Linked DNA regions of Cricetulus griseus. The protein of the gene in region 1 purifies or fractionates together with the protein of each later gene. This does not show direct contact. Links are inferred from orthologs where the notes say so. Each region holds a gene or a part of one and is shown on either strand. Other genes may lie near its edges. The genes, in order: Cul4a, Dcaf12, Wdr61, Phip, Trpc4ap, Det1 and Dcaf4.

Region 1 (3,500 bases):
TTTTGTTTTTGTTTTTTCACTTGTTCTGAAATTGTCCAAACTTACAGAAAGTGTGCTAGGTGGTTCCTAGAATGCCTGTGTTTAGCACCGGCTATGTATATGGCATCTCTTTCCTGTTCAGTGGGCTTTGCCCTCACTGTATCAGAGCAGGTCTCCCAGAATTTCCCCAGCACTTCAGATGAGAAACTGCTCACTGGTAGGAGTCCCTCATTCAAGCTTTGCCTGCTATCTCAAGTGTATCCTTGATAGCTACTGTGGTTGAGCTGTCTTTTTACTTTCTTGAAAGTATCTGTCTTAGTCTGTTTTCTGTTGTTGCAACAGCATTCCTGAAACTGGGTAATTCTAAGGCTGGGAAGGCCAAGATCAAAAGGCTTCCAGTGATAAGGGCTTCAAATAGAGAAGGGGCTCAGGAGAGGTAGCCATACTGCTGGTGACTGCGAGCCTATGCTCACTCCCTTGGTGCCTATGAGGTCATTGAGGTCATTCATTGTGTAGTCTGCATGCACTTGTGAGTGTCCATGCTCATTAGCTTTTGTCACTGTGACAGAACTTGAGAGAAACCACTTACAGAAATGAAGAAGGTTCCTTTGTTCGTGGTTCCTTTGTTTGTGGTTTCAGAGATTACAGCCGAAGGTCAAATGGATCTAGCACTTTAAAACAGGAGCACCCCTGCAGCATAAGCATTCTGGGTCAAGGCTGCTCATCTCCTGGGTCCAAGAAGAGGCCAGGAACAGGACATGCTCTCAAAGGCATATCCCCAGTCACCTACTTCCTCCAAAGAGGCCTCACCTTTGAGTTTCCAGAACTTTCCAATGCTGTTAAATTACTAATTCATTGATAAGGTCAAAGCCCTCATGGCTCAATTGCTTTCCAAAGTCTGTGCTGGCTGCCAAGCCTGGAGCACATGAGCCTCCATTGGCCATTTCACTACAAACAATGATAGTGTGTGACACCAGCCCTAGCCAGAGGGAGAGGAAGTCGCTGGACTACAGGCACCATGTGACTCAGGGTACCCACATGTACCACTAGAGGTGACCAGCAGGAGTGAGTGAAGCCTGAGTGTCAAGCACCAAAACAGAAAAAAGCCAGAGGTCTCGGGCCTGTGGGTTCAGAACTCAGAAAAATAAATATCAGAATCTGGGCCTGCCTTCTCAGGTCAGCTGTGCAGGCCTGTGAGAGCTCTGTAAGGGTATGCTCAGTCTCTCTTGTCTCTTGGTTTGGCAGATGGTCAGACTTCAGGAAGTATTCAAGACTTTCTACCTGGGCAAGCACAGTGGTCGGAAGCTCCAGTGGCAGACAACACTGGGACATGCTGTGTTAAAGGCGGAGTTTAAGGAGGTCAGTTCTTTATCTAGTACTCTTGTTTCTTCCATTCTCCTGGGTGTTAGGAAAATTTTTCAGATTGTTAATTGAACTCCCATAGCAATGAAAGGCAAGTTTTTTTTTTTTTTTTCAATATAATGTAGCACTAGTTTTTCTTGATCAATAAAAATAACAAGTGCCGGGCGTTGGTGGCACATGCCTTTATTCCCAGCACTCAGTAGTCAGAGGCAGGCCGATTTCTGTGAGTTCCAGGCCAGCCTGGTCTCCAGAGGGAGTACCAGGACAGGTTCCAAAGCTACACAGAGAAACTCTGCCCCCCCCCCAAAAAAAAAAAACAAGTAAAGGGTAAATATTCTGCTTAACAAAAATCAATAGTAAATTAATCAACAGAAAACCATTTACCAGGGTCGGGAAATAAATCATTAAAGTACTCATGCTGCACAGTCATGAGGGCCTGAGTCAGACCCCCAGCACACACATAAAACCAGGTGTGGGTATCAGCAAGATGCCACAGCTGCTAGAGTCACCTGACAGAGTTGATTCCCCAGGACCCACATGGTAAAAGGAGGGAAACAGTTCCCACAAGCTGTCCATGACCTCCATGAATGCACCATAATAGGCACACCTGCACATACAGAAAAATGAACACAGTATATTACTTAAAACATCTGTAATAGGCATGGCTGCGCTCACCTATAACCTAAGCAGTAGGTGTGCAAAGACAGAGGGGAGTCACAGGGACTTGCTGGCCATCAGCCTCACTGAAAAGTAGTGAGATTCAAGTTCAGCAAGAGACCCTCCAGAGAAAAGGATGGAAAGCAGCATCCTCCTCTAGCCTCTGCATGCCCCCCAGCACACATGTTTACACAGGTACACACCACACATGCAGTCATTAAAAGAGCAGTGGGTGTGAAAAGGCAACTATATAAGAAACTTGAAACCCGGTGTGGTGAAAATGTACACCAGTTTTCTGCTGAACAAAAGGTTGCAGATTAAAACACAGTGAGGTGTGGCTGTGGGCCAGGATGCTGACAGATACCAGAGAAGACCAGCAGGTGCAGCTACCAGAGGGAATCAAGCTGTGTAGTGTCATGGAGAGTGGCATGTAGAAGTGTAACCATATAGATCAAAGCCCCCAGATTATCTACTTTTCACTGCCTTAGTTCCAGTTGTAAGAAGCAACCTGTTGTGGTGTTCCTGTGCATGTGTGCATGAGCCCAAGGAGTCCGAAAGCTGGTAAAATACCCAGAAACTAACTGCAGACAGCTCTGATTCCATACAAGAATAGCAAGCTCCACTGCTGAGCCTTCTCCAGCTGCTCCTTCTTTCTTCCTTTCTTTCTGTTAGCTGTTACGTCTTCCTTCTGTTGTAAAGGGCCAAGCCACTAAACAAAGTTTGTCATATGCCAAGAACCCAAGAGGGAAATATTTCAAGATTTCCACATACTCTCTTGTCAAGTCACTTCAGTTAGAGCTGGGAGTCCTTGCTAAGGCATTTCACAGATCAGGGGATAAGAATGCTCACTGCTGTTACCAGCAATCATGTAAGAAGGAGAGACATGGGCTGCATGGATATACAAGAGAAGCTTGTCACCAGGCAGTGCATGGGAGACAGCCTTCATGTTCACATCTAACTCTTAATATATAAATCATGTATGTTTAAGTATGTCACGGAGAATACTCCAAGTTCCTGTTTTGTAGAGCCATTATTCTAGTACACTGTATACTGCATAGGTGTCACATACACTCTTCTGCAAGTCCAGTTCTGCCACCTGTGTCTTTGATTGCTTTCTGACTTAGGTAAGAGCTGACCTCTCAGATAGCATACAGCCCCTAAAGCTTTCTGCTCATGTGAGTCAGGGCTGGGTCCAACAAGAGGTACCCAACACTGCTGCTCCCCCAAATTCCCTTCCTGTCCTTTGTCTTCTACGAAACTGTTAGATTTCATGGTACTGGCTGGCATATGAGCACTGGGACATTCTAGATAAGAGCAGCTGAGCAGTGGAGACGGTGCTGATGGAGCACTATTTGTTTTTGAACCAGGTGTGGAGAAGCACTCTGCAGGCCCTTTTTTCCCAGGCTGTTGTCCAGCCTTCCTGTGCTCCACCCACAGCCTCAGCAAGCCATGTGTGATGGTACATGTTCATGAGCCCAGCATTCAAGAGTCAGAGGCAGGAG
Region 2 (4,066 bases), on another chromosome or scaffold:
TAACATTTCCCTTCCAATTATTTATAACTGTTACTCTCTTTAAAACTGTTCCCTACTCTCATGTCCTCTTCTTCACAAACGCTCATACCCTAAAATACACCACCAGGTACCCATTTCTTATCTTTTTTTTTTTTTTTCCTTTTTCTTTTCTATCTTGTTTTTCAAGACTGGGTCTGGGTTTCTTCATGAAGCCGTGGCTGTCCTGGAACTCTATAGATCAGGCTAGCTTTGAACTCAAAGAGATCCACTTTTGTCTCTGCTTCCCAAGTGCTAAGATTAAAGGTGTGCCCCACCACAGCCAGTTCTTCTTTTTCTTTTCTTTCTTTTTCTTCTTCTTCTTTTTTTTTTTTTTTTTTTGAGACAGGGTTTTTCTATGTAACAGGACAGTCTTGGCTGTCCTGGAACTTGATTTGTAGACCAAGTTGGCTTTCAACTCACTGAGATCCGCCTCTGCCTCTCAAGCGGTGGGATTAAAGGTGTTCACCACCACCCGGCTTGTCTTTCTTATAGGAAACTACTCATTTTTCCTTTTTGTTTCTTCTGAGACAGGTTCTCAGTATACAGTCCTGCCTGGAACTTAAGCAATTCTACTCCCTAGCCATCCAAGTGCTATGTTTGGATTCTATTACACGGAAAAAAAGTTATTTGCCTTATTTTTACTTTCAGCCAAATTCCAAACACTTCTACATATGTCAATGGCTGACACACAGCAATTAAGTTGCCACTATCATGTATCCTGAATGGCGATTCTGAGCATCAATTTCTGTCCTTGCTTTGAGGTCTCTTGCTTAAAAGATGAGGCTAAAACACCAGAAGCAGAAGCATATACAGAGCCAGGGACTAAAGACATGCGTTCATTTGACACCATCAAAAGATGCAGAAGTGAGAAAAAGAGCAGAAAAAGAGGGGACAAGGCCATTAACTAGAAGGAATGGAGAGTAAAGAAACTGATGGGGGCACTTCTTCCTGAAGAGCCCCAGACCCACAACTGGGTTTGTTCTTTCCTTGAGCACCTCTCTGTCCTAACGCTTCTACTGAAAATCTCTTAATAAATTCCAAATCTGCTTACACAAAAGAAAATGTAAACAAATTTGGGCGATGCACAGATAAGAAAGGCTCTAGAGCAGGTGAAGCCATGCATGTCAGACCTAAGAGAGAGAGCGTCTTCCTGCCACTTACCGTATTGCATTTTGTGCCACACACCACTTGCCTATGATTCAACCACTGAGAAGCAAACACTTTATTAAGGGTCCCAAGGTGAAATTCTCTCTCCTTCAGGAGACTGGGAAGTTGTTGTGCTGCGTAACCATGTAACACCCGAGAGTAGTTGGTTTCACTCTGCAGCCTGACCTCCCGGTTCTTCAGGTAGTACACCAAGGATCTTTTCACTGGGGGTAGTCTTTTCCGCTTGTGCAGCGAGTGATCCCAGCCAAACTGTGGAAATCAACATCAGAAATCAGATGTTTGGCCACTTCCCTCGATGACAAGAAATCCCACTGTATTAGAGAACAACAACCAAGAGTTCGTCCCTCAGGATTTACACAATCAAAAATGTAACGGAAGACTCACAACCCAGAAAGTACATCTTAATTCGTCTCGCACTGAAATAAGGTTCTCGCAGTGATGCCTACTTGGAAAATGGGTAAACAGGATGAAAGGTTTACTAGACCACTGAGGAAAGTGGAGGACTTAGAAACCCTATATACTCGGTGTCCTTGGCAGGGAAGGAAATGAGGCCCAGATTACCGAACCCACCTGGGCTGCATTTCTACCCAGTCCCCTTCTCCCTCTCCGCTTGTGCTCCCCGTAGAGCATAAAGGGTATTCAATGAGCCAGAGTGGGATCCCGGATCTTCTAGGGATGTAGTCAGTGGCCGCTCATCTGACACCGCGCGACTTGCGCTGCGGGCAGTTTTAGAATTCGAAAAATCAAATACCAACGGGGTGAAAAGAGTAACCAGCGTCGGAATCCCGAGTCCGACGGGCCCTCCTCTCCAAAGGGGGCAGTAGAGATGACACCTGGTGTTTCTTCTAGGTGTCTAAAAGGACCAGCCTCCAGTTTAGGAGATTGTTTCCTTGCTAAGAGACAATCGGGCCACATTCACGGTGTGCCACTGGAAGCCTGACTTCGGTCTCCTTCCCAGACTCCCCTTGAACTCAGTTTCCCGCGGGACCAGGAGGTCCTGGCTTCTCCTCCAGCTCTATCCCTAGCTGCAGACTTTCAGCGGAAGGCGTCATTTTGGAGTTTCCTTTTGGCTCTTCACCCTTCCGGCTCGCCTGCACGTCAGTAAACTGCAGAAGGACCGGCCGCGGCTCTTGTCCCACCCTGGTCCCTGGTCCCGGTCCTCAGCTGGAACTCCCTAAGCCTCTGTTGGGGTTCTACCATCGCCCTAGCCTGTAAGCCCTCACCTGCGGGCCCTGAGCGTCGCTCCCGGCTCCAGGCGAGGCAGGCGCTTTCCGCTTCCTGCTAACTGCTTTCCGGGCCATAGTGGGCAGCGCCGCCGTGGCCCCGCAGCCACATGGGGCGGAGGAAGCGAGGGGCGGCAGGGCGACGGGTCATATACCGGGCCCCGGGGCCGCGCGCTTTCGTGCGCCCGGCCCGGAAAATGGCCCGGACCCGGGGCGGCAGCTGATCAAAGAGAGGCGCGTAAAGGGAAGGAGGGAAAAATCCAGGCTGGGAAAGAAAAGGCAAAGCAGGATCGAGCAGCTTTCAGACAGCCAAGTCTGGAAAGGACGGCGAGCGGCGAGAACCAAAACACCCCCTCCTGATCACCCGAGCCCGTCACTCCTGCGCAGCCGCACATCGCAGCACGTCGCCACGGAGACGCCGCCTAGATCAGAGGGGTGGGACTTCAGGGCTGCAAGGAGAATTGGTGTTGTCGGAGAACTTCCGCTTCCCTTTTACCAATGGTGGTTTAGCTGTGGTCAAGCTGTGGCCAAAGGAACCCAGCCTTCTGGCGGGGCATTTCCGACCTCAGCCAGCTCATCCTCTGGCATGCGGAAGCAAGAATGAGCTGCCTCGCCGCGGGTAGGAATCTCTTCCAATCTTAAACCTCTAACCATCCTGGCTTGATTAAAGATATTCTAAAAACCCTGATGGATGCCCGTTTGCAATCAGACTATTAAAACACTGGACTCTCCAGAGATTGCAATTTCCCTGGGGGTCTTATTCAAGGAGAAGGAAAAGACTCTGTCACAGATGCCAGCCAACAGAGGAACTTGACTCCAGGAAGGATATTTCACAGTTCCGAAAACTTGTCAGACTACCTTACCAGAGAAACTGGAAATGAAACGACCACACCTTGACAAAGGACTGCTTAGTTGTGTATGCCTTTTGTCTTCTATGTAAGCTTAAACTATACCACTTAACAGAACCCTGGAAATGGACTTGGAGTAGAGAATGCCACCAGACGTCATTGTGCTTTCCAATTATAATATCTCTTTTTTTCACTTCAACTTTTGTCTTTTTAATTGACCTGTTGAGGATGAGTGACCCAACTAGTTAGTTAAGGCTGCCAAGGCTCAGGTTCTGACTCTTACAGCTCTGATAACAGTTTATACTCCTGCACATTTTTTCAAATCTCTCACAAACTATCATTGGGCACACATGATTGGACACCTTGAGGGAGGCAGAGAACCCTATTTCATCTTGCTTCAAGATGGATTCAGGGTAGAAAGCCATAGCAGCAGCAGACTTTCCCACATCCAAGCACTTGGCCAAGTACCTGGCATAGGTCACCCACACATGGGGGGAGTTCTCAGATTCCATTATCTGTTTCTTCCTTCTTCCTTACTCCCTAGCCTCCTCTCCATCCTGACTCCTGATGGAACCTCAAGTCACTTTTCCCCCGTTTTTTTGTTTTTTGTTTGGGACAGAGTTTCAATATGTAGTCTTGGCTGGCCTGGAACTCACTATATTATTTAGATCAGACTGGCCTCATACAAAGAGATCCTCCTGCTTCTGCCTCCACAGTGCAAGAGTGAAAGGTATGTTCTACCAAGACTGGCAAGTCACTTTCCATTCAACATCACCCCCTTTTAGGTCTCCAAGATCTGCTGTCACAGTT
Region 3 (3,495 bases), on another chromosome or scaffold:
AAGGAAACCTGTCTGTCGAGGCGCTTTAGCTGTGGTCCCCTGCACAGACCCTGCAGTGTTCATTAGCTGCTGTCTTTTGGTGTGGTTTGCTGGCAGCCAGTTAGATGTGAGGCCAGCAAAGCAAGGCGGGTTGTATTCAGAAGGGACAGGCTAACCAATTTGTCTCAAATCATCCATCTCTCCCCACAGAGTCCTGATGGGAAATACCTGGCCAGCGGAGCCATAGATGGGATCATCAATATTTTTGATATTGCAACTGGAAAGCTTCTGCATACGCTGGAAGGTACCCACAACCCCTCATCCTAGTTTGTGCTCACTGGATGGATATCAGGTCACAAAGCAAGAATGCTTCTTTTATTAAAATACTAATTATATTGTTTTTATCTCTGTTGGAAAACTGAAGTACCACTATGTCTTAGACATAGCACTGTGGTTTTAATCTGGACACAATAGTTCTTTTTTAGTGATGTTGATTAGTTTTTATTTATGTGTGTTTTCTCTTTTTTCCTCATGAGCTTTGTGATTGCAAGGCTGTCCATCTCCACACTGGTGGCTTTGGGAGGAGGACAGAGCAGGAGACAGAGATTGCTCCTCTTGTGTCTGATTTTGAATTATAACCAAGTGCATGTATTACCTTAATTTACCCTTTACCCAACAGCAAAAGATTTGGTAGAGAAATAATATTATTGGACCTTACAAATATTATTTGTCCAACTTTACAAATCAGATGCAGCCTGTATTTCCATATTTGGCCATATTTGTAGGGCGTTGGGGGGGGACTGTTGTTGTTTTGTTTTGAGACAGGGTTTCTGTGTAGCCCTGGATATCCTGGAATTCACTATGTAGACTAGGTCTGCCTCTGCCTCTGCCTCCTGGGTACTGGGATTAAAGATTTATGCCATTGCCACCCAGACAGGTCTTTTGTTTGTTTTAAGATTTTGTGTATATGCGTGTGCGTGCACATGCAAAGCACAGAAGCCAGATTTCAGATCGCTTGGAGCCAGAGTTACAGATGGTTGTGAACTTCCAGCTGTGGGTGCTAGAAACTGTACTTGGGTTCTCTGTGAGAGCAGTACATGCTTTTGACCACTGAGATATCTCTCCAGCCCCCCAATTGTTTTGATTTGAATTTTAACAGATTATATTGAGACCTAGCTGATTAGAGAACTAAGAAGAAATGGCTACAGGAAAGAGGTTGGAGGCCTGTGGGAGTGGAGGAAGGGTCTAGTCAGTACCTTCTTCTCTGACTGAAGCTCCAGGGTTGTTCCAGCTCAGTGACTAGTGGTCATTAAAAGGGCACAGTTAGAAAGCTTGTGTGGTGGAGCTGCCAGCTTAACAGCTTTTCTGAATTGCAGGCCATGCGATGCCCATTCGCTCCTTGACCTTTTCCCCTGACTCCCAGCTCCTCGTCACAGCTTCAGATGACGGCTACATCAAGATCTATGATGTGTGAGTTACCTTTCCAAGAGTAAAGGTCTCAGCAACAGCTTTTTCCCTTTACTGATAGGAGCCACTCTAGGAATTTGTGCCTGCTCTATGGCTATAAGTCAGCTCAGATGCTTTGAACTCCCAGTCATTTCTCTCCCAGCCAGCCCCTCCTGCTAGAGCTTAGAGTGTGTCCCCAAGGTCTATGTGGAGGAAAAGTACATCTATCTAACCCTAGAAGGATTAGACACTGCTGCTCTTTTTCAGGGGTCAGGTGGTTTGGCTCCCTGATATTCAATTCTTCTGGGTAGATATGTAGCATACAGCTGAGGAAATGGAGCTCTGGCTATAGCTGGCCTTGGGTGTCTCTTCCAGGCTCCTGCTTTCAGCAGATATGCAGGCTGACTTCTGGTTAGGGAGCCCCAGGGTAAGCTGCCCCATAGGTCTAGGTGGGGAGCCTCTTGAGGTATGTTCTGGACTGACGGCGTAGGAGTGAGCAGATTGCTCTTGTGTGCTCAGCACCACCATTGAGGGCCCATACTGCTCTCCCTTCTGTTGTGTTCCTCCCTCCCACCTTCTCATTCCCCCGCTGTTGCCAGTATATGCCAGTATATTTGTGTTGTCCTGGGTTTCATTATGAGTCTCCATGCTAAGTGTGCCTCTAGTTCATCATTCTCCAGTTCTTTTCTAATCTGTCTTACACATTTCTCACTCCAATATGTCCTTTGGGCCTCTGTGAGCTGTTTGAGAGTTGAACTCTGCGATCAGAAGGGCATGCTGCTTTTGACATTAGTGGTGAGAGGATTCTGGGGCCACAAGAAGAGACTCTCAACATTGCATGTTTTGGGTGTCTCTCTTTGTTAGCTTTCATTGATGCTCTTCCATGACTTCCCAAGCTGTTGAGGCAACATGACATAGTGCCTCCACTTAGCTGGCTGAAGAGGTGGTAATTGCCCTAGCAATAGTGAACCTCACGATTTCTTACTCTCTGCACTTCCTGAGGCTTGTTTTTAGAGGCAAAATTGCTGACCTCAGGCCCAGGTTGCTTCTCCTGGCATAGGCATTTGGTTTCCTGGGAGAGATGGGTGGCTCAGCAATTAAGAGCACTTGCCAGTCTTGCAGAGTTTAGTTCCCAGCACCCATGCTGGGTGCTCACAATTACCTGTAACTACAGCTCCAGGGGTTCCATGTCTCCCTGTGGACTTCATGGGCACCTGCACACAAGTGGAACACACACATAAAATAAAAATCTTTTTCAAAGTAAAAGAAACATGGAAATAGTTGTAGGAATTGGGACTAGCTTGGTTTTTTGCTTTTTTGTTTTTGGCTTTTTAAGGTATTTTTTTGGTTTTGATTGGGTTCTGTTGTTTTATTTTTGGTTTTGACAGGGTCTCACTATCTAGCACTAGCTGGCCTGGAACTTGATATGTAGAACAGGCTGGCCTCAAAATCACAGAGATCTACCTTCTTCTGTCTCTCAAATGCTGGGATTAAAGGCATGTGCCACCATACCCACCTATCTGCCTTGGTCTTGACCAGGTCACAGATGTTCTGTTGAGCCACATATCCTATGATGGGCACATCTCGATGCTTTCCTCTCATCATGGGAAAGGTTCTACTGCAGGAGGGTCTGGCTGGCCTGCTCACCCCTGCTACTCAGTCTCTTCAACTTGGAGTTGGCTGAGCCATCTCTGCAGCCTCCAAGCTCTTGATATTTTTAACTTAATGCTGCTATAAAAATGTGTCTGGTGTTTACTGCTACTTCACTGAAAATGGAATTTATGACATATGGCCATTCTGATATCACACTCAACCATGTGAGTGGAGCTAATAGTTCATTAACCAATTCCGAAATTAGAGTCCCCTAAATTAGCATCTCCATTCTGTTTGAATCTTTCTTCTTCCAGACAACATGCCAACTTGGCTGGCACACTGAGTGGCCACGCATCCTGGGTGCTGAACGTCGCGTTCTGTCCTGATGACACTCACTTTGTCTCCAGGTACGTAGGAGTCATAAATTTCTAAAGTGGTTGGCAGGGGAGAGCAGTCTTCTGATAATGTGCCTTAAAA
Region 4 (3,500 bases), on another chromosome or scaffold:
TTTCCTAAGTCAAATTGTAACATTCCCTAATCCATCATAGCAGCCAGGAAGCAGAAACCTTAGTTCTACTTACTCCTTAACTGTACCTGTTTCATAGATTTTGAAGTACAATATTTTGCTTCAAGTTACCAACCAATTAAATTAGCCTTTGCTTTTTCAGTCAACTTTCGGACCCGTCCTCTACTAGAAGTCCCAAAAGTCAAAGAGGTGTCTTCAAATAACAGCTGCCTCTGCTCTTCTTCTGAGTCATCCTCATTATAGAAAGCTGTCCTTCGACCTTGGTTTCTAGTTCTCATGTGAGGTTCAGAGCCTTTGAGTTCTTCAAACTCTTCTTCCTCATCTATAGGACCATCTGTTTTTTTCCGGTTACTTCTCCTTAACACTTTAACATTAGTAGGGACTATGAGTTCTGAATCTAGGTTTTGTGTTTTCATCTTCCTTTTGGGCTTTCTGCCTCCACGACTCTTTTTCTGTAACAAATCCTCCTTAACAGCATTAGTGTTAGAAAGAAAGTTGCATGTTGAAGAAGGAACCACATCAGCCCTGATTGGAGGCATGTTATTTTGCTCAGAGTTTTCTTGCTTTGCACACTGCAGTTTCTTGGGCTTTCTACCTCTTTTCTTGTGTATAACTTCACCACTGCTGGTGTTAGCTTCTGCCTTAGGCTTCCTCCCAGGCCCTCTCTTCACAAGTTTTGATGGCTGTCCTCCATGGCCATTTACTTGAATGGTTCCTGCTATAAGAACATTGTTCTTACAATCTCCTGAAAGGAAAAAACAGTATGTTTAATGTGTTGTTTAGCCCGCCAACTAATGGGTAAGAACCCTAGAATACGTCTATGTAATGATATAATAATAAACAATAATAAAAAACTCCTACTAAAATAAGAGAATTGATAAATTTCTGCAGCTATTACCTAGTCTTTTTATTTTTAAAAATTTATTTATTGTGTGTACATTTGAATGATGATGATGATGATGTCTATGTGTGAGTGTCACATGAGTCACCATGCATCTGTGGAAGTGGAGGGCAACTTTTGGGAGGGAGTTCTCTCCTATTCTCACAGACTTGCGGGGTAAACCTGCTGGCCCATTTTATTGACCCCCGGGAAAAGACTCTCAAGACAAAAAGAAAGACTTAAGCACAAAGTTAATGTCGTCACTGACAGCAAAGAGTAGAAATGCCATGTCTACCTCCTACCTCCTTTATTACACATTCTAATGTGTTAAAGAGTTTTTTGTTTGAATCGAATGAAATGATCATATTTATTTGCAGTTTATCACAACAAAGTCTTTTACTGTTAAACCTACTAAACACAGGGTGTTTTTATAGTATCACTTTTAAGAAATCATGGAAAAATATTCTTAGCATAACAATTTTATGGCTTTTTAATCTGGTCCTTCCAATAAATAAGCATGTTAACTGTTACTCACTTACTTTCAGTCATCTGACCAGTGAGAAGATTATTCAGACAATAAAGACTGGGAAATTTCTAGCTTTTATTTCATCTCCTATGACTGTGACCACAGTAACTTCTCTATCAGAAATGAGTCTCGAGTCTGAAGATCTCCTTATGTTCCCTAGTCACAGAGTGAATCTTCCTTCTTAATTTCCATACCCAAGATAATTAGGAGTATATCTGCTGCAGTAATTTTTATCAGTTAATCTCCACAAAAACTGCCATGGCTTTGACATTCCTCACCTACTCTCATCTGCAAATGTATAAGTAAGTTATTCTTGGTTACTTGTTTAAAGAGGATGAAGCAACAAGAACAACTGAAGGCTGGAAAGGTGATTAGTTAAGTTTGGGTCACCAGAAACCACCAAAAAGCCAAGCATTGTGATATACATATGTAAGTTCAATCGCTGGGGGAATAGAGCCCAGGGGACCATAGAGCTCAATGGCCAACCAACCAAGCCAACTGGGGAAATCTAGGCGCAGAGGTTTTGCCTCAAACTATAAGGCAAGTGATCGAGAAAGATATGTAACATCAACTGCTGGCCTCCATATGCATACACATGTGTGCACACCTACATACAAAGCCATATTCACCATAAAAAAAATTGAATAGGAGTTTTTTTCCTTTTTACATGCTACTCAAATAGTCTCTCTTCATGTAACTGAATGGCAAATGATAATTTGTAATCATATAATATTGACACTGTATCAATTCTGTAAAGTGGACCACTATTATCTTGGTTAAAAATCTTACTTTTAACTAATTCCATGCTAAAAAGTTAAGAAATTCAACAAGTTGGAACAGGGAGTGAAAAGGAAAAACACCAAAAGCCCTGCAAGCCTCCCATAAATGATTTTCTTTAGATCAGCTGTTTTACAACTGGGAGGTGAAGGCGTGGTAGATAAATGTGGAAACAAAGAATTTTCTACAGCACAAACTGCCTGAGGCTTGTGTGCTTTCTTTGCTTTACATGAAAACATACTAATTAGGCACTAAACTAAAAGGCACAAGCAGAGGAACTAGATCACTCAAAAGATGTGAATTACACATTTTTCTTCTTTTTTTTTTTTTTTTTTTTTTTGAGGTACTGTGAAAAGATCTGACACGCAAATTATGGACATAGAAAAAACAAGGGAATACTATGCTAGATTTCCCAGGAAAATCAGAGGAAAATTTATCAAACAGAGTAAGAGATAGCTTATTCGGGTACAGAGGTGTAACTGAACACCAAATACAAAGGAACAAAAAAATCAAGCCAAACCAAAAAAAAACCCAAAACAAAAACCCCACCCCAAAACACATACTGTCAGAACACTAAAACCACAGAATAACGAAAGGGTACTTAGATAAAGGTCAAGTCACTTACGAAAGCAGGTCCATCAAAATAAAACCTAATTATTCAACTAAGATGTTTAAAATCAGAAGGCCTTAGAAAGATGTATTCCAAGTTCTGAAAAAAATCTATTATTGGAAAGAGAAATCAAAACTTCCCAGGACAAAAACGCTAAAGGAATTTAATAACACTGGGTCAGCATAATAGAAAGAATACATAGAAATGAAGAGAAAGATTTTAAACACACTCAAGGAGCCGGAGAAGGTCCAAGAAAACACAATCCCCATACAATCAAACCTAAAAACAAAACACCAAAAACCCCAACCAACCAACCAAACACTACAATGAAATGCTAAGAACACAGACATAACTTTGAATAATAACTCTGAATATCAATAGCCTCAATTTCCCAACAAAAGGCACAGACTAGCAGATTGGCTAGAAATGGGTTCTATTTTAGGATAAAAGAACAGGAAAAGGTGTTCAAGTCAAACAGAATTGAGAAATAATACTTGTTATTCTAGTTATCTCACAAAATGGAGCTCAAATCAAAACTAGTTAGACAATGCACAAACACAAGTCACATGAAGGGGGGGTAGGGGAATACACAGAGTTGTAAGTGTGAGTAGAGATAGGAGGACTGAGGAGAGGTTGGGGGCAGGTTAATCCAAACTAAGGATAAATGAAAAAAGCATTATGGAAATCTA
Region 5 (4,215 bases), on another chromosome or scaffold:
ATTTTTTTTTTTATTTAAAAGGTATTTTTTGGCAGGTGGTGCTATTGTTACTGCCCAACCTGCTGCCCCTTGTAGTCTACTTAATGAAATCTGTTTTCTTTCCCATTCCACCACCCCCTCAAAACGTTTTTTAAAAACCTGGCACTTTTTTACTGTGCCATATGCGGTAACCAATATGTGTACTGCACTAAGGAAATATGGTTGAGCAAATGATTTATTCTGCATAGCAGGAGAGAAGATAGGGAGAGCATAGCAAGGAGGAAAACTAAAAACTCTACTAAGAGAGGAAACTATGAACTGTAAAGGTTTCCATTATCACTACTATTTGGAGGACAGGAATTCCTAATTCAACCTCTGAAACAACTCCCTCACCTGTATAAAACTATCAAAGAAATATGCAATTACAGGCTAAGAAAGCAATGTAACCAAACAAACTTTGGGGATTAACAGAGTAATCGTGAGGACCACAATGCCCAGTCAAAACAGGCTTTAAGAATAATCCAACAGTCTTCCAACATAGTTTCCTAGTTCATAGTTTCAACACTGGAAACAAATTATTTCCCTAAGTTGCCTCATCCAGCATGTTAAAGATTTCTATGGCTCACTGTTTTTAGGACACAGATTATCTGAAGGGGTATTTAGAATCTCATTGCCTAACCTTTTTGAACTTCAATTTCCTCATCTGTATTAAGAGATGAATTCAGCACATGGCTCAAAATACTGAAAACTGCTGGATGTGGTGGAACATACCTGTATTCCCAGCACTACCTCAAGTTCAGGGTTAGTCTAATCTATATAATAAACTCGAAGCCAGCCAGATCTATGTAGGAAGAGCCTGTCTCAAAAGTAAACTTACTTAAAAAAAAACAAAACAAAACATGAACACCTTGCACACTGATTGATCCAAAGTATGTGATTATTAAAGGTCAGTCCCCTCTTTGCTTGTCTCTACATAGTGAGCTCAGTGACATATCCTGACTTCAAGGACAGAACAAGTATTCCTCAGATCTTCTTAGGGCAGATGCAGAAAAATGCAATAAAGGAAAGATGCTCATCCACAGTTTCTGTAAGAAAATATGGCTACCCAAAAGTGCTCCTTCATCTGCAACCCTTTACAAATACAGACTATCTCACCCTCACCCTTTTAGTCCTTTGAGTAATATTCAAATGGCTCAAAATTAATTTTAAATATGTAATGGTACTTTGAAAAAAATCTCACACCTATTCCATTCCCTCATCCACACACCTAATTCCCACTCCTCTCCAATTCAACACTCAACTGGTTTCTTGTGTGTTCCTGAAAATCATATGCAAAACTATCTTTTACTTAAGCTAATGTTCTATCTCCCTCCCACCCCCTCCTCGGTTTGTTTTTCAAAACAGGGTTTCCCTGTGTAACAGCCTTGGCTGTCCTAGAACTCAATTTGTAGCCCAGGCTTCCCTGGAACTCACAGACAGAGACCCGCCTGCCTCCTCTGCTTCCCAACTGCTGGGGATTAAAGGCAGGCACCCAGCTAAACTTCCGTTTCAAAGCAAATTTCTGGGACCACCTGAGAGGATGAGGAAAATGTGAGAGGAGTCATCCATCCTGCATTATTCAAAGTAGTGTCCTGTGCGCGCACCTACGCGCGCGCACGCACGCATGCACGCACGCGCACACAGACACACACACACACACACACACACACACACACACACACAAACACACACACACACACACACGCCACGCATGTACTGGACTTGCGTATCAATCGGTGTGATGATAAGCTAGGCATTAAATATAACCTTAACTGAGCGCTCTCCGGCCCTTATCTGCACCTGAAATGCACTAACACTTTACACTACTATCTCCTTTGAATTTAGCAATAACCTGAAACTAAGTCACTGAAAGATAACTTGCACAAGCAAGACAGAAAGTAGGGCTTTGAACTCGGGCTTGACTAAAGTTCTTCCTCCAAAGCATGTCGCCCTACACTGGCAAAACAGTCTCTGCACCCGTTGGAGCTCAGCCTAATGTGGGAGACAGGCGTGAAAAGGGCACACAACAAAGAAATATGCAATTACAGGCTAGGAAAATAATGCAACCGAAAACGAACTGGAGGATTTGACAGAATAACAATAGGGGCCTACTTTCGAAGAGGGGGAGCAACGTTAAGGCCTCTTTGAGAAGATGACATCTACGATAGGCTTGCGAACCGTTTGGGGGGCTGCAGGGAGGAGGACCCGGTCCTGCTCACAAGGGGCAAACGCCAGGCCAGTAGAAGATGAAGCCAACTCGCCAAGGGCCCCCAGACATGCAGACGTGGCGCAGGGAAATGAGGATCTAGAAACTCGGCCCAGGGCTCATACGCGCCATCCGCACCCCGGCAGCGCGACCCCACTCGGCCCAGACCTGCAGGCCGCCCAGCCGGCCGCTGTCCATCGTCCCGCCGCGGCTGACAGCGGCCGGCCGGCACTGAGGACAACCCCGCGGCCAGCCACGGGGGATCTGGCCGGTCCCGCAGCGGCCTGAAAAGGCCTCTGTCCCGGCCCCTGGCCAGCTCCAGCCTGGCCCGCCCCGCCCCGCCCCTCCGGGCCGGCCTCGTACCTGCACCGCCCGGACCAGGCCCCGACCGGTGAGCTGGCCCTGCCGCAGCTGCAGCAGGATGTTACCGGGCCGCGGCCGGCCTCCCCAGCCGCCCCATGCCGCCGCTGTAGCTGCCGACTGTCTCCCCCGGCTGGCCCCAGCTCCAGCCGCTGCCGGCGCCGCCGCCATGTCTCCTCGTCCGACAAACAGGAAGCAAGCGGCCCCAGAGCCGCGTAGATTTCTACGGGGCGGCGGAGGACTCTCCACATCGCCCCCAGTGGACAGACGCGGAGATGCAGGCCGCGTGGCGGGGGGGTGGGGGGAAATGTGCGCGCCCGGAGGTCTTATGGGAAGTGTAGTCTTTCTCCCGAGGTCGGGCAGATGACAGAGATGCTGGCCTCCTGGACCCACCTGTTTCCCCACATCCCACCTCCAGCATTTCTGTGAGGTTGCTCCAGATGGAAGACTGATCGCTGCGTGGGCATGCTCTCGAATTTCTTGTCTGTTTAGGGATGATGCAGCCGAGTGGCTAGTGAAAGGCCCTAGGCCAGAATTGACACTTGATTCTGAGTTCTGTCCCCTTCTTTTTACGACTGCCTCCAGCCAAGTCTACCCTTGCTCCTCAGTTAGTTCATTCAATATGGGCTCAGATGAGTCAACTAACATTTGTATTATAATTAACAAATATATCTTATGTAAATAATATATAAAAGATTCGAAGAAAATGGTAGAAAACATTTCATGAATTACAAAATTGTGTTGAGATTTTACAGATGTCAATAAATAATTTCTAAGGGAGCCAGCTGTACTCCTCACACTGAACAATAGAGGACGTGGAGGGTGCGGTGATGAGCAGAACAGTGGAGCACCCTGTGAGGGGATTGAGACTACAGGGACCACAGCAAGTCCACACACAAAGAAATGTAACTGGCGAGGTTGTGGTCAAGTTCAGTGAAATAATGCAAGGAGTGGGGTTGGTAAGTCGTAGCCTCTGCCAAACAGAACACTGCGCTGATTTCCCTGCGCTAGTGTGCTCTCTCTCTCTTCTGAACCGCTGTAGCGCGGCGGCAGCGGTAACCACTCTTTCCCTGTTTTCTCTCCAGGGAGAGCTGAATGTGCTGAATTGGGATGTCATGAAGTTTGCTGCTTGTAACAAAGGAGGCTTTAATTTGTTACACAAACCAAAATCCCGTAAAGTGTGAAATGATGTAATAAATAATTAGACTAAAACAACAGACATTTATGGGCACTGCCAGGACAAACTAGACTGTGGTTACTATCTTTTTGTTTAAATTTTTTGTTCTTTTCGAGACAGGGTTTCTCTGTGTAGCTTTGGAGCCTAACCTGGCACTCACTCTGGGGACCAGGCTGGCCTCAAACTCACAGACATCCGCCTGCCTCTGCCTCCCGAGTGCTGGGATTAAAGGTGTGCGCCACCAGCGACCTGCGTGGTTACCATCTTAAAATGCCCACTTTAGAAAGTATGATTTCTGCTCACCTCCAGCAGATCACTACTAGATTGTCTGGTTTAAAACAAATAAAATAGGGCTCGAGGGATGAATCAGCAGGTAGAGGCAGTGGGCTGTCAAGACTGAGGACCTAAGTTGGGTTCCCTGGACCAATATTGGTGGAAGGAAAGAAATGACTCC
Region 6 (4,194 bases), on another chromosome or scaffold:
AATCACAGCCCTGCCACATGTTTGTTGAGCTTTGCTTTGGGAGAAAGTGTCATGTAGCCAAGGCTGGCAAACTTGCTTCACAGCCAAGGCTGGTCTTGAGCTCCTGATTCTCTCCTACCTTCACTTCCTAAGTGCCAGGACTATAAGATCTGTGCCACTACCCCTACTGACACTTATTCTTGTGTGAACTTGTGCAAGTGATATATGCCTCTCTTTGGGTCTTAGTTTCATCATGGAGAAGGAATATGCCCAGACAACTTCAGTAATGTTTTATCAAGACTTCAGGTGTTTGAAGATAGCATATTTAATACTTTGGATAACCTTAAGGGGCAGGTATAATCATTTCCAAGAAAAGGCAGTAGAGGCTCTGAAGCCACCACCTGAGAACACTCAACTTGGAAATGTTAGGACTGGGCCAGAAATCTTTCTCTTCACAGCTACTCTATATCCCTAAGTCACCTTTCTTCCTTTAGCTTCAATCCCTTGTCCTTTTCCCACCTCATAAAAGTCAACCAATATCTTTTCCTCGTGGTGTTGTGTGCAGAGTCTTTTTGGGGGGGAATTGGGGTGGGGACAGCAAGGTTCAACCTGACCTCCAGTTCTATATCCTATGCCTCATAAGAACTGGGGATATATGCATGGACCACCACTCGTGGCCCTCTGCTGGACTCTTTATTGAGCCTCTGTAAGATGGCAAACCTTGTTATAGGTGGGCCTGGAACAGAAAATAAGACAAAAAAACCTGTCCCCAGTTTATATTCTACCAGAGGGCAGAGAAACAAAATGCATAGCAACAAAAACAGATATTAGACTCAAGAGTGAAGAAATAGTGATGTTGGTGACACGGGAGCCTTAAGAGATGACATTTTGTGTTTGGTTTCCTGCCAAAGCATTGCAAAAATAAACAACACACACACACACACACACACACACACACACACACACACACACACACACACCACACACACGTAAAGATGACATATATGTAAAGACTTGAATGATCCAAAAGAGGGACAACTTAGGGTTAGACAGCCTAGGAGAAGCCACAGGCTCATAGGGAAGAAATAGCTTGTAAGAAATTAAAGTTCTATGTTAGTGAAAGACCAGAAAATGTTACGGGATTCATTTAGTACAGAAGATTTTATTGTATGCTCTGTGCCCACCAATAGCAGCGGGCCCGGAGAATGACACGGTGCATATATAATCACATTTTCCACCATTACAGGAGAAGTCGGTGAAAACTTAATTCCTATTCACGTTATTATGAAGGCTCCGGGCTTTTCACCCAGCCTCGATCCTTCGATCCCTCCTCCCGACGCCAGGGTGCGCTGCGCCGTTCCTCAGCTGGGTGGCGTCTCGCTCTTCCGTACTTCCCTTCTCGCTGCGCAGCACTTCCGGTAGCCGGCGGAAGCAAGGGGTCTGTGGCTGCCGACGCCGGGGTCCGGAGGCATGGCGTGGGCGGGGCAGGGGGAGGTGTGCACCGAGCAGGCTAGGGCGACCCTTGCCCCGGCCCCATGAGCCAGGACCCGACAGGTGAGGACTTGTCCTTTTCGGCCGGTGGGAGCTCCGCGGCGGGCTCCTCTCCGCATGATACCCGGGCCCCAGGAGCCCCGGCGCCAGGCTTTGCCCGTGAAGGCTCCGCCCTGGGCTTTTCTTTCCGGGGGCGCCCCTTGGGCATGTGTGTCTGCCTCTTGGCATCCTTTTCTTGTTTTGGAAGCAGTCGCCAAGTGAGGAGACATCTGCACTTGCTCTAACGAGGAAAAAAAACAAAAGAAAAAAACCAAAAAAAAAAAAAAAAAAAAAAAAAAAGAACCCTAACAATTTGCTTTCACACATTTAGTGACCCGATTTAGCCTGGCTTTCTTTTCGTTTCAGAACGTACCTAAGCGTCTACCATGTGCTAGCCCTAGAGCTAGATAAAGAATATACCGTGGTGACTGAAGTAGACCTGGTTACTTCCAGTAGAAAGAGTATAGTTCAGCGAGGAGAATTAAACATTAAACACAATCATGCAATCGAACATGCAAATAAAAGTTGTGACTGAATACTATAGAAAGAACAAGAAAAAGATGAGTCCTAATTTAGGGAGGATGGTAGGGAAAAAAAAAGACTTCCCAAAAGTTGACACTAAGGTTGCAACAGGAAAAGTTAAGGCAAGGACCAGGGAGAATGCATTTGAGAAAAGGAAGGTACCTCTGTGTTTTCCCACGTTGGTCAAGAATATGACTTGAGGTAAGCCCAGTGTTTAAGAAGGGAGCTTGGTAGGTGTCAAGCACTGGGGTGGGCATACAGAAGAGGTGTGTAGCTGACCCAGAGAGATCACTATAAGTATACATATAAGTAAAATACAGAGAATTGCAGGGAAAGAGAGGTGTGGCTACCGTGTTGGGATATCAGGTCTCATGAAGTGAAAAAAGGCCTTCAAAGACAAGATGTTGGAGTTGATACCCCAGGTAGTTCTCAAAGGTGAAGAGTTTAATTTCTACAAAGGCCAGATAGTATATTTCAGTCTGTGATCTGTTACAGACACTCAGCACTTCTTTCCTAGGGCTAAAGTGGCCATAGGCAATATGTAAATGAATGAGTGTGGTTGGGTTCCAGGGAAAGGTTCTTTCCTAAGTCAACCAGAATAGTAGTTTAGAGTCTGACCTCCTCAGGTCTAGCTCAGCATGCGGTTTAGATCCTTATCCTGTGGAGTAGTTTATCCATGGATAAGTTTGAAACAAAAGGATTGCAAAACAATACCCTTACTATATGTTGTAACTTTTTGTTTGTTTTGTTTTATGGTGCCGAGGATCTGGGCTACTTGTTAGCAGAGCCTTTGCCAGAATCACCTCCACCCCAGCTTTTGATTCCTTTCTGATGATTATTGATGTACTTTCTTTGTTGGCCATTTGTATGCCTTTGGGGAAATGTCTTTCAAGTATATCTTATCTGTCTGTATTTATTTATTCATTTATTTTTAAATAATTGGGTTTTGTGAGTATTTGTTGGGTTCTGGGAGTTTTTTTAAATAGGCTGAGTATTAACTCTTTATTAGATATTTGACCAGCAAATATTTCTGTTCATTTTGTAGGTTGCCATTTCACTTTTTTGGGGTGGTGGTGGTTGTTGTTTGTTTTTTGAGAAAGGGTTTCATTGTGTAACTCTGGCTGTCTTGAACTTGATCTGTAGATGAGGCTGGCCCCAAACTCACAGAGATCTACCTGCTTCTGCCTTTCCAGTGCTGGGATTGAAGGCGTGCGCCACCAAGCCTGGCCCCCTTCCACTTTCTAGTTGTAACTTTTAGTGTATAATGTTTTTATGTATTCATGTTTAATCATCTTTTAGATGTGTTACCCATGCTTTTGGTTTCACATCGTAAGTCATTAGATCCATTTTCATCGAGTTTCTCCCTGTGGTTTCCCTTGAAAGTTTTATAGCTATAGGTCTTCCACTTAGTTAATTCATTTTGAGTTAAGTTTTGTAAATGGTGCAAGATAAGGGTGTAATTTTATTTCCAAGATTCTTTTTGCTTATGATATCCATTTGTCCAGAAGCCGTGCGCTGGAGAAACTCCCCTTTCCTGTTGTGTGGCCTTGGCCTTACTGAATACCAAATGCTGTTTGCCCATGTGTGAGCTTCTTAGGGTTTGGCTCCATATCTGGGAAATCAGCTTAAAGGAGGAGAGCTTTGCTGTGTCTTAGTTACAGAGGGCTCAGTCCATCATTTTGAGGGAGGGTCTGGCAAACGGGAAGCAGAGAAAGGGGGGTAAGGAAAGGGTCAGAACAAGATTTAGCCTCCAAAGTCAAGTGTTCATATCCTGTTTCCTCTGCTTCTTCCACTCAGGCTTTCCTTCTACCCATCATCACCTCCCAGTAATGCTGCCATTATGAATCCACAAGATATCAATCCGTTGATTAGATCAGAGCCCTCATAATCTAGTGGTCTCTGGAACTGACTTATGGACACCCAGAGGTATGCTTCACTGATTCCTGGAGCACGGTTCTCAACCTCCCTAATGCTGTAACCCTTTAATACAGTTCTGCATGTTATAGTGACCCCCCAACCATAAATTATTTTTGTTGCTACTTCATAACTATAATTTTGCTACTGTTATGTATTATAATGAAAATGTCTGTGCCTTCTGATGATTTTATGTAACCCCCGTGAAAGGATTGTTCAGCTACCAAAGGAGTCGTGGCCCACAGGTTA
Region 7 (4,152 bases), on another chromosome or scaffold:
TGGCGTTGTCCCGTCGTCATCCGTGTGCGGGTCTTACCCCCCACACACACACACCCCCGCCGCCTCTGCCTCCTCAATCCTACAGGGACCTCAAGGCTTTACATAGAATCCTGTCTTTTCTTTCTCCTCCGTGACTACCTTCGACGTCACTGCTGTGCTGCTCCACCCAAGAGACCTCGGCTAAGCACAGATTTAGTTGTTACCCAACAAGGTTCCAGTCTCTGAAGCCTCACAGGTTTCCCTGCTTCCATCCACCTTGCTAAATCTTTCAGGTTCCTCACCGCCAGCCCAACCAGTAGCTGGAACAGGCTTCCAGTTACCTATTCTGTCAGTTTGGATTCTTTGCTCCCCCAAATACAGTAAGAACAAGCCTGTTTGCGATCCCCACCCTAGCCTGGCCTATTTGAACCAACTCTCCCCACACTTTTCTTCTTTCCCCCTCAGAGACTCCTTTGCTCTTTCCACAATACAATCATTTCACACTTCTGACCTATCACGGATTTCATCTTCCTTGGAGTGGTCCTCCGGGTTGTGAGCTGGTACAGGCACGCTAGATATCATTCTGGAAATACTGTCTAAACATACTTTTGTCTGGAGATCATTAAATTAGAATATCTTCTCGGTTTACTTGTTACTGTGGAAGAAATTAAGGCGCAGAGAAGAAGTGCGCACCCTAAATCACACAGCTCGCAGGAAACACGCAGATTCGAAGCCACACTCCGCAGTCTTGCGCACCTGCAGTCTCGAGGACTCCACCTAATCCTTTTCTCTCTTTCCCCCTCAAAGGCTCCTTTGCTCTTTCCACAATACAATCATCTCTTCCCCACAACATATCAGTGTTAACTCTGGCTCATGTACCGACCCCAAGCAGAAAAAAATTTTCTCCGGTACGATCTGCAGCAAGAGAGAAGACGAGCCGGGCGTTGGTGGCGCATGCCTTTAATCCCAGCACTCGGGAGGCAAAGGCAGGTGGATCTCTGTGAGTTCGAGACCAGCCTGGTCTACAAGAGCTAGTTCCAGGACAGCCTCCAAAGCCACAGAGAAGCCCTGTCTCGAAAGAAAGAGAGAGAGAGAGGAGAGGAGATAGAGAGGGGGGAGGAAGGGAGAGAGAGAAACTCCGTTTGCCAAGAGGGTGTCTGGAACTCAGGTAGCAATCTCCAGCCCCAGCCCCGCCCCCAAGCGCACCAGGCTCCGCCCCCAAGCACTCCAGGGCCAGGCACTAGGGGCTCTGACGAAGCGGAAGTCCCAAGTCCCGCCCTCTGCATAAGACCGCTCCTGCTGGCGTGGACGGGCAGAAGCCTGAGCCAATGAGAAGGCAGAGCCAGTCGCCTTAGTCCTATGGGCTGCTACAACACAGAACGTGAGTGTCTTTCCGGGTCCTCGCACGCCTCCTCTGTGCTCCAGCCGGACTTGCTAAGCTTCGGAGAAGCAACGGTGCAGGTAAGCCTGCTCCGATGCCCAGTGCGCTCCTGGGTGCCGAAGGTGGGTGTCACTGTACCCACGCAGACGTCGGGGAAGGCCGGGCTAAGGGCAGGAGGAATGAGCACGTGACACGACCGGAGTGGGTGTGGGCCCGGGCCTGGCGGGCCCTGCGGGATCCCCAGGGTCACCTGCTTAAAGACCCAGGGCCATCGCCTCCGTTGAAATTCGGACTGTGATGGAGCACCAGCCCAGTAGCGCTTTTTGGTATAAATTCTGGAAGACGTTCTTGTTTTAGTTTTGTTGTTTTGTGTTTTTATTTTTATGCGTATGAGTATTTGGCTTGCATATGTATGTGCGCTGCAAGCATGCCTGGTGTCCACGGAGGCCAAAAAAGGTCGCACAGATCCCATGGAACTAGAGTTACACGTGGTTGTGAGCTGCCATGGGAGATGCTGGGAATCAAATCTAGGTCCTCATTGCTCCTAACCACTAAGCCTTGTCTACACACACATACACACACACACTTTTTTTTTTTTTTTTTTTTTTTTTTTTTTTTGGCTTTTCGAGACAGGGTTTCTCTGTGGCTTTGGAGGCTGCCCTGGAACTAGCTCTTGTAGACCAGGCTGGTCTCGAACTCAGAGAGATCCGCCTGCCTCTGCCTCCCTAGTGCTGGGATTAAAGGACTGCGCCACCACCGCCGGGCATTTTGGGGGGTTTGTTTGTTTTGGTTTTTGTTTTTTTTTTTTCTTTTTTGGGGGGGTTTCCACACCCACACCTTTTAAAAGAGCATTTATTTGTTTCTTTATTTGGTTTTTCGAGACAGTTTCTCTATAGTTTTAGAGCCTGCCCTGGAACTCGCTCTGAAGACCAGGCTGGCCTTCAATTAACAGAGATCCTCCTGTCTCTGCCTCCCTGGTTCTGGGATTAAAGGCATGCGCCACCACCCGGCATATATATATAGAGAGAGAGAGTTGCGTGGGGGGGGGTGCACTTACACTCCTGTGTAAAATGCAGAGTACTGAACCAGGGTCCTCTGTAAGCAGCAAGTGCTCTTAACCACTGAGCCATCTCTCCAGCCACAGTTGTCTCAGACACAGAAAGAAAGGTTAAGGGTGGCTTGCCTGAGATTTTGTGCAGGCTGGTATATGGAAGCATTAGAGCATTAGTAAGCCCTGGTGTGGACCAACCTCCATTCCCCGACACACCACGTGTGTGTTAGTGAGAAAGGCAGTCTGGCCAGGCAGTGGTAGCACACACCTTTAGTCCCAGCACTTGGGAGGCAGAGGCAGGTGGATCTCTGTGAGTTCTAGACAAGCCTGATCCTCAAGAGCTAGTTCCAGGACATCCTCCAAAGCCACAGAGAAACCCTGTCTCTCAGGAAAAAAGTAAAAAAAGAAAGAAAGTCTGTCCACACCATTTCTTCAGAATCTGGGTGCATTTGTGGTCTCCCAGGTGACTTTGGGGAGCACAATGCTCTCTCCACCTTGAAGATCCATAGACACCATCATGTGTATTGAGCAGAGCAGTAAGAAGGGAGGAAAAAAAACCTAATGAATCAGCACCTTGGAGAAGTGAAAAACCCCACTGTCTGGAAATTGAGTTGTAAATAACAGTGGAAATTAATTGAGGTGTTGTCCTGTGGGTGATTTTGCCCTGAAGTGTTGGGGACCTCTTCTTGCTCCTTTAATGCAACTTTGTTAGCTAGATATTGTTAGTTCTATAAGCCTTGGTTTCCATGTTGTAAAGAGGGGCTTGATTTTATTACTGTTATATGGATGTTTTTGTGCAAGTGTGCATGTAGAGATCGGGGGCAACTTTGTGGAGGTGGTTTTTTGCTGTGGATTCAGGGATGGAATTTTAAGGACAGGGGCATGTGTGGGTGAATGCTGTTTGTGTGGGAGTGACCTCAAGGCCAGAAGACTGTTGGATCACTTGGAACTGAGATACAGGAGGTGGTGAGCCACCTCATAGTGTGTTCTGGAAACCAAACTCAGGTCTACAAGAGCAGCAAGTGCTCTTAACTGCAGAACCATCTCTCCAGCCCCTCGTTTTATTTTTTACACTGGACAGAAGTCCTACTGAGCCACTTGCATTTTCCCATTTCCCTCCTTGGTCCACATGGTCCACACTATGGAGGGTAGAAACTTATTGAAGGGGCCATTTTATGCCGGGTTCTAGCAACCAGTGGCATTAGCACTTTGCATCTTACTATGTGTTAGGAATCAGGGTCTTACTGGGTTTTCCTATGATTGCATTATTTCTCACCTTATTTATTGATGTGATTTTTGTGTGCATATTAAGTGAGTGTGGTTGTGTGGAAGTTAGAGGACAACCTGAGGTGTTATTTGTTACCTGCCTTGTTTGACACCAGGTCTTTTGTTCCCTCTTAGTTCATAGAGCTAGCTGGCCTTGGAACTTATGAGGAGTTTCCTGTCTCCACCTCCCATTTTACTGGAGAAGTGAAACCTTGTTTTGGGAATTCTGACCCCGCTAAGTGGCAAGTGCTTACCCTCCTGTCTCCCCAGCCCTCACTGAATACCATAGCATGCTGTTAGTGCATTTGCAAGGTTGTGCAGCCACTGTTACTATGTAAGTCCCAGGGTTTTTATCATTATCCCTAAACCCCAGGTCCCAGGTGTTAGGGTAAAGTGATATAGTCCCAGGACCCCAACTAAGATGTCCCCCAAGTGCATTAGCTGTTTACCTGATTGTGGGCCTGTACCCAGCATC

Evidence for each region.
Region 2: the proteins of Cul4a (region 1) and Dcaf12 purify together in Homo sapiens (affinity purification with mass spectrometry; 4 studies listed by BioGRID and IntAct, with this or other methods). This does not show direct contact. The link is inferred for Cricetulus griseus from reciprocal best matches to the Homo sapiens genes CUL4A and DCAF12.
Region 3: the proteins of Cul4a (region 1) and Wdr61 purify together in Homo sapiens (affinity purification with western blotting; 3 studies listed by BioGRID, with this or other methods). This does not show direct contact. The link is inferred for Cricetulus griseus from reciprocal best matches to the Homo sapiens genes CUL4A and SKIC8.
Region 4: the proteins of Cul4a (region 1) and Phip purify together in Homo sapiens (affinity purification with western blotting; 11 studies listed by BioGRID and IntAct, with this or other methods). This does not show direct contact. The link is inferred for Cricetulus griseus from reciprocal best matches to the Homo sapiens genes CUL4A and PHIP.
Region 5: the proteins of Cul4a (region 1) and Trpc4ap purify together in Homo sapiens (affinity purification with mass spectrometry; 7 studies listed by BioGRID and IntAct, counting the BioPlex papers as one, with this or other methods). This does not show direct contact. The link is inferred for Cricetulus griseus from reciprocal best matches to the Homo sapiens genes CUL4A and TRPC4AP.
Region 6: the proteins of Cul4a (region 1) and Det1 purify together in Homo sapiens (affinity purification with western blotting; 6 studies listed by BioGRID and IntAct, counting the BioPlex papers as one, with this or other methods). This does not show direct contact. The link is inferred for Cricetulus griseus from reciprocal best matches to the Homo sapiens genes CUL4A and DET1.
Region 7: the proteins of Cul4a (region 1) and Dcaf4 purify together in Homo sapiens (affinity purification with mass spectrometry; 8 studies listed by BioGRID and IntAct, counting the BioPlex papers as one, with this or other methods). This does not show direct contact. The link is inferred for Cricetulus griseus from reciprocal best matches to the Homo sapiens genes CUL4A and DCAF4.

The regions. Positions count from the first base shown.
Region 1 is NW_023276807.1:67,640,986-67,644,485, reverse strand, and holds part of Cul4a (cullin-4A), read left to right. Parts: intron 1-1,224; coding exon 1,225-1,338; intron 1,339-3,500. UniProt on the Homo sapiens protein: Core component of multiple cullin-RING-based E3 ubiquitin-protein ligase complexes which mediate the ubiquitination of target proteins. As a scaffold protein may contribute to catalysis through positioning of the substrate and the ubiquitin-conjugating enzyme.
Region 2 is NC_048595.1:101,264,967-101,269,032, reverse strand, and holds the start of Dcaf12 (DDB1- and CUL4-associated factor 12), read right to left. Parts: upstream 2,801-4,066; 5' UTR 2,487-2,800; coding exon 2,409-2,486; intron 2,044-2,408; exon of another isoform or gene 1,816-2,043; coding exon of another isoform or gene 1,756-1,815; intron 1,435-1,755; coding exon 1,180-1,434; intron 1-1,179. UniProt on the Homo sapiens protein: Substrate-recognition component of a DCX (DDB1-CUL4-X-box) E3 ubiquitin-protein ligase complex of the DesCEND (destruction via C-end degrons) pathway, which recognizes a C-degron located at the extreme C terminus of target proteins, leading to their ubiquitination and degradation.
Region 3 is NC_048597.1:166,341,560-166,345,054, reverse strand, and holds part of Wdr61 (WD repeat-containing protein 61), read left to right. Parts: intron 1-189; coding exon 190-283; intron 284-1,355; coding exon 1,356-1,449; intron 1,450-3,332; coding exon 3,333-3,425; intron 3,426-3,495. UniProt on the Homo sapiens protein: Component of the PAF1 complex (PAF1C) which has multiple functions during transcription by RNA polymerase II and is implicated in regulation of development and maintenance of embryonic stem cell pluripotency.
Region 4 is NC_048597.1:193,301,637-193,305,136, forward strand, and holds part of Phip (PH-interacting protein), read right to left. Parts: intron 764-3,500; coding exon 126-763; 3' UTR 1-125.
Region 5 is NC_048599.1:23,921,342-23,925,556, reverse strand, and holds the start of Trpc4ap (short transient receptor potential channel 4-associated protein), read right to left. Parts: upstream 2,801-4,215; 5' UTR 2,756-2,800; coding exon 2,588-2,755; intron 1-2,587. UniProt on the Homo sapiens protein: Substrate-recognition component of a DCX (DDB1-CUL4-X-box) E3 ubiquitin-protein ligase complex required for cell cycle control.
Region 6 is NC_048596.1:118,770,930-118,775,123, forward strand, and holds the start of Det1 (DET1 homolog), read left to right. Parts: upstream 1-1,394; 5' UTR 1,395-1,533; intron 1,534-3,828; 5' UTR 3,829-3,943; coding exon 3,944-3,957; intron 3,958-4,194. UniProt on the Homo sapiens protein: Component of the E3 ubiquitin ligase DCX DET1-COP1 complex, which is required for ubiquitination and subsequent degradation of target proteins. The complex is involved in JUN ubiquitination and degradation.
Region 7 is NC_048598.1:120,209,212-120,213,363, reverse strand, and holds the start of Dcaf4 (DDB1- and CUL4-associated factor 4), read left to right. Parts: upstream 1-1,352; 5' UTR 1,353-1,454; coding exon 1,455-1,482; intron 1,483-3,812; exon of another isoform or gene 3,813-4,011; intron 4,012-4,152. UniProt on the Homo sapiens protein: May function as a substrate receptor for CUL4-DDB1 E3 ubiquitin-protein ligase complex.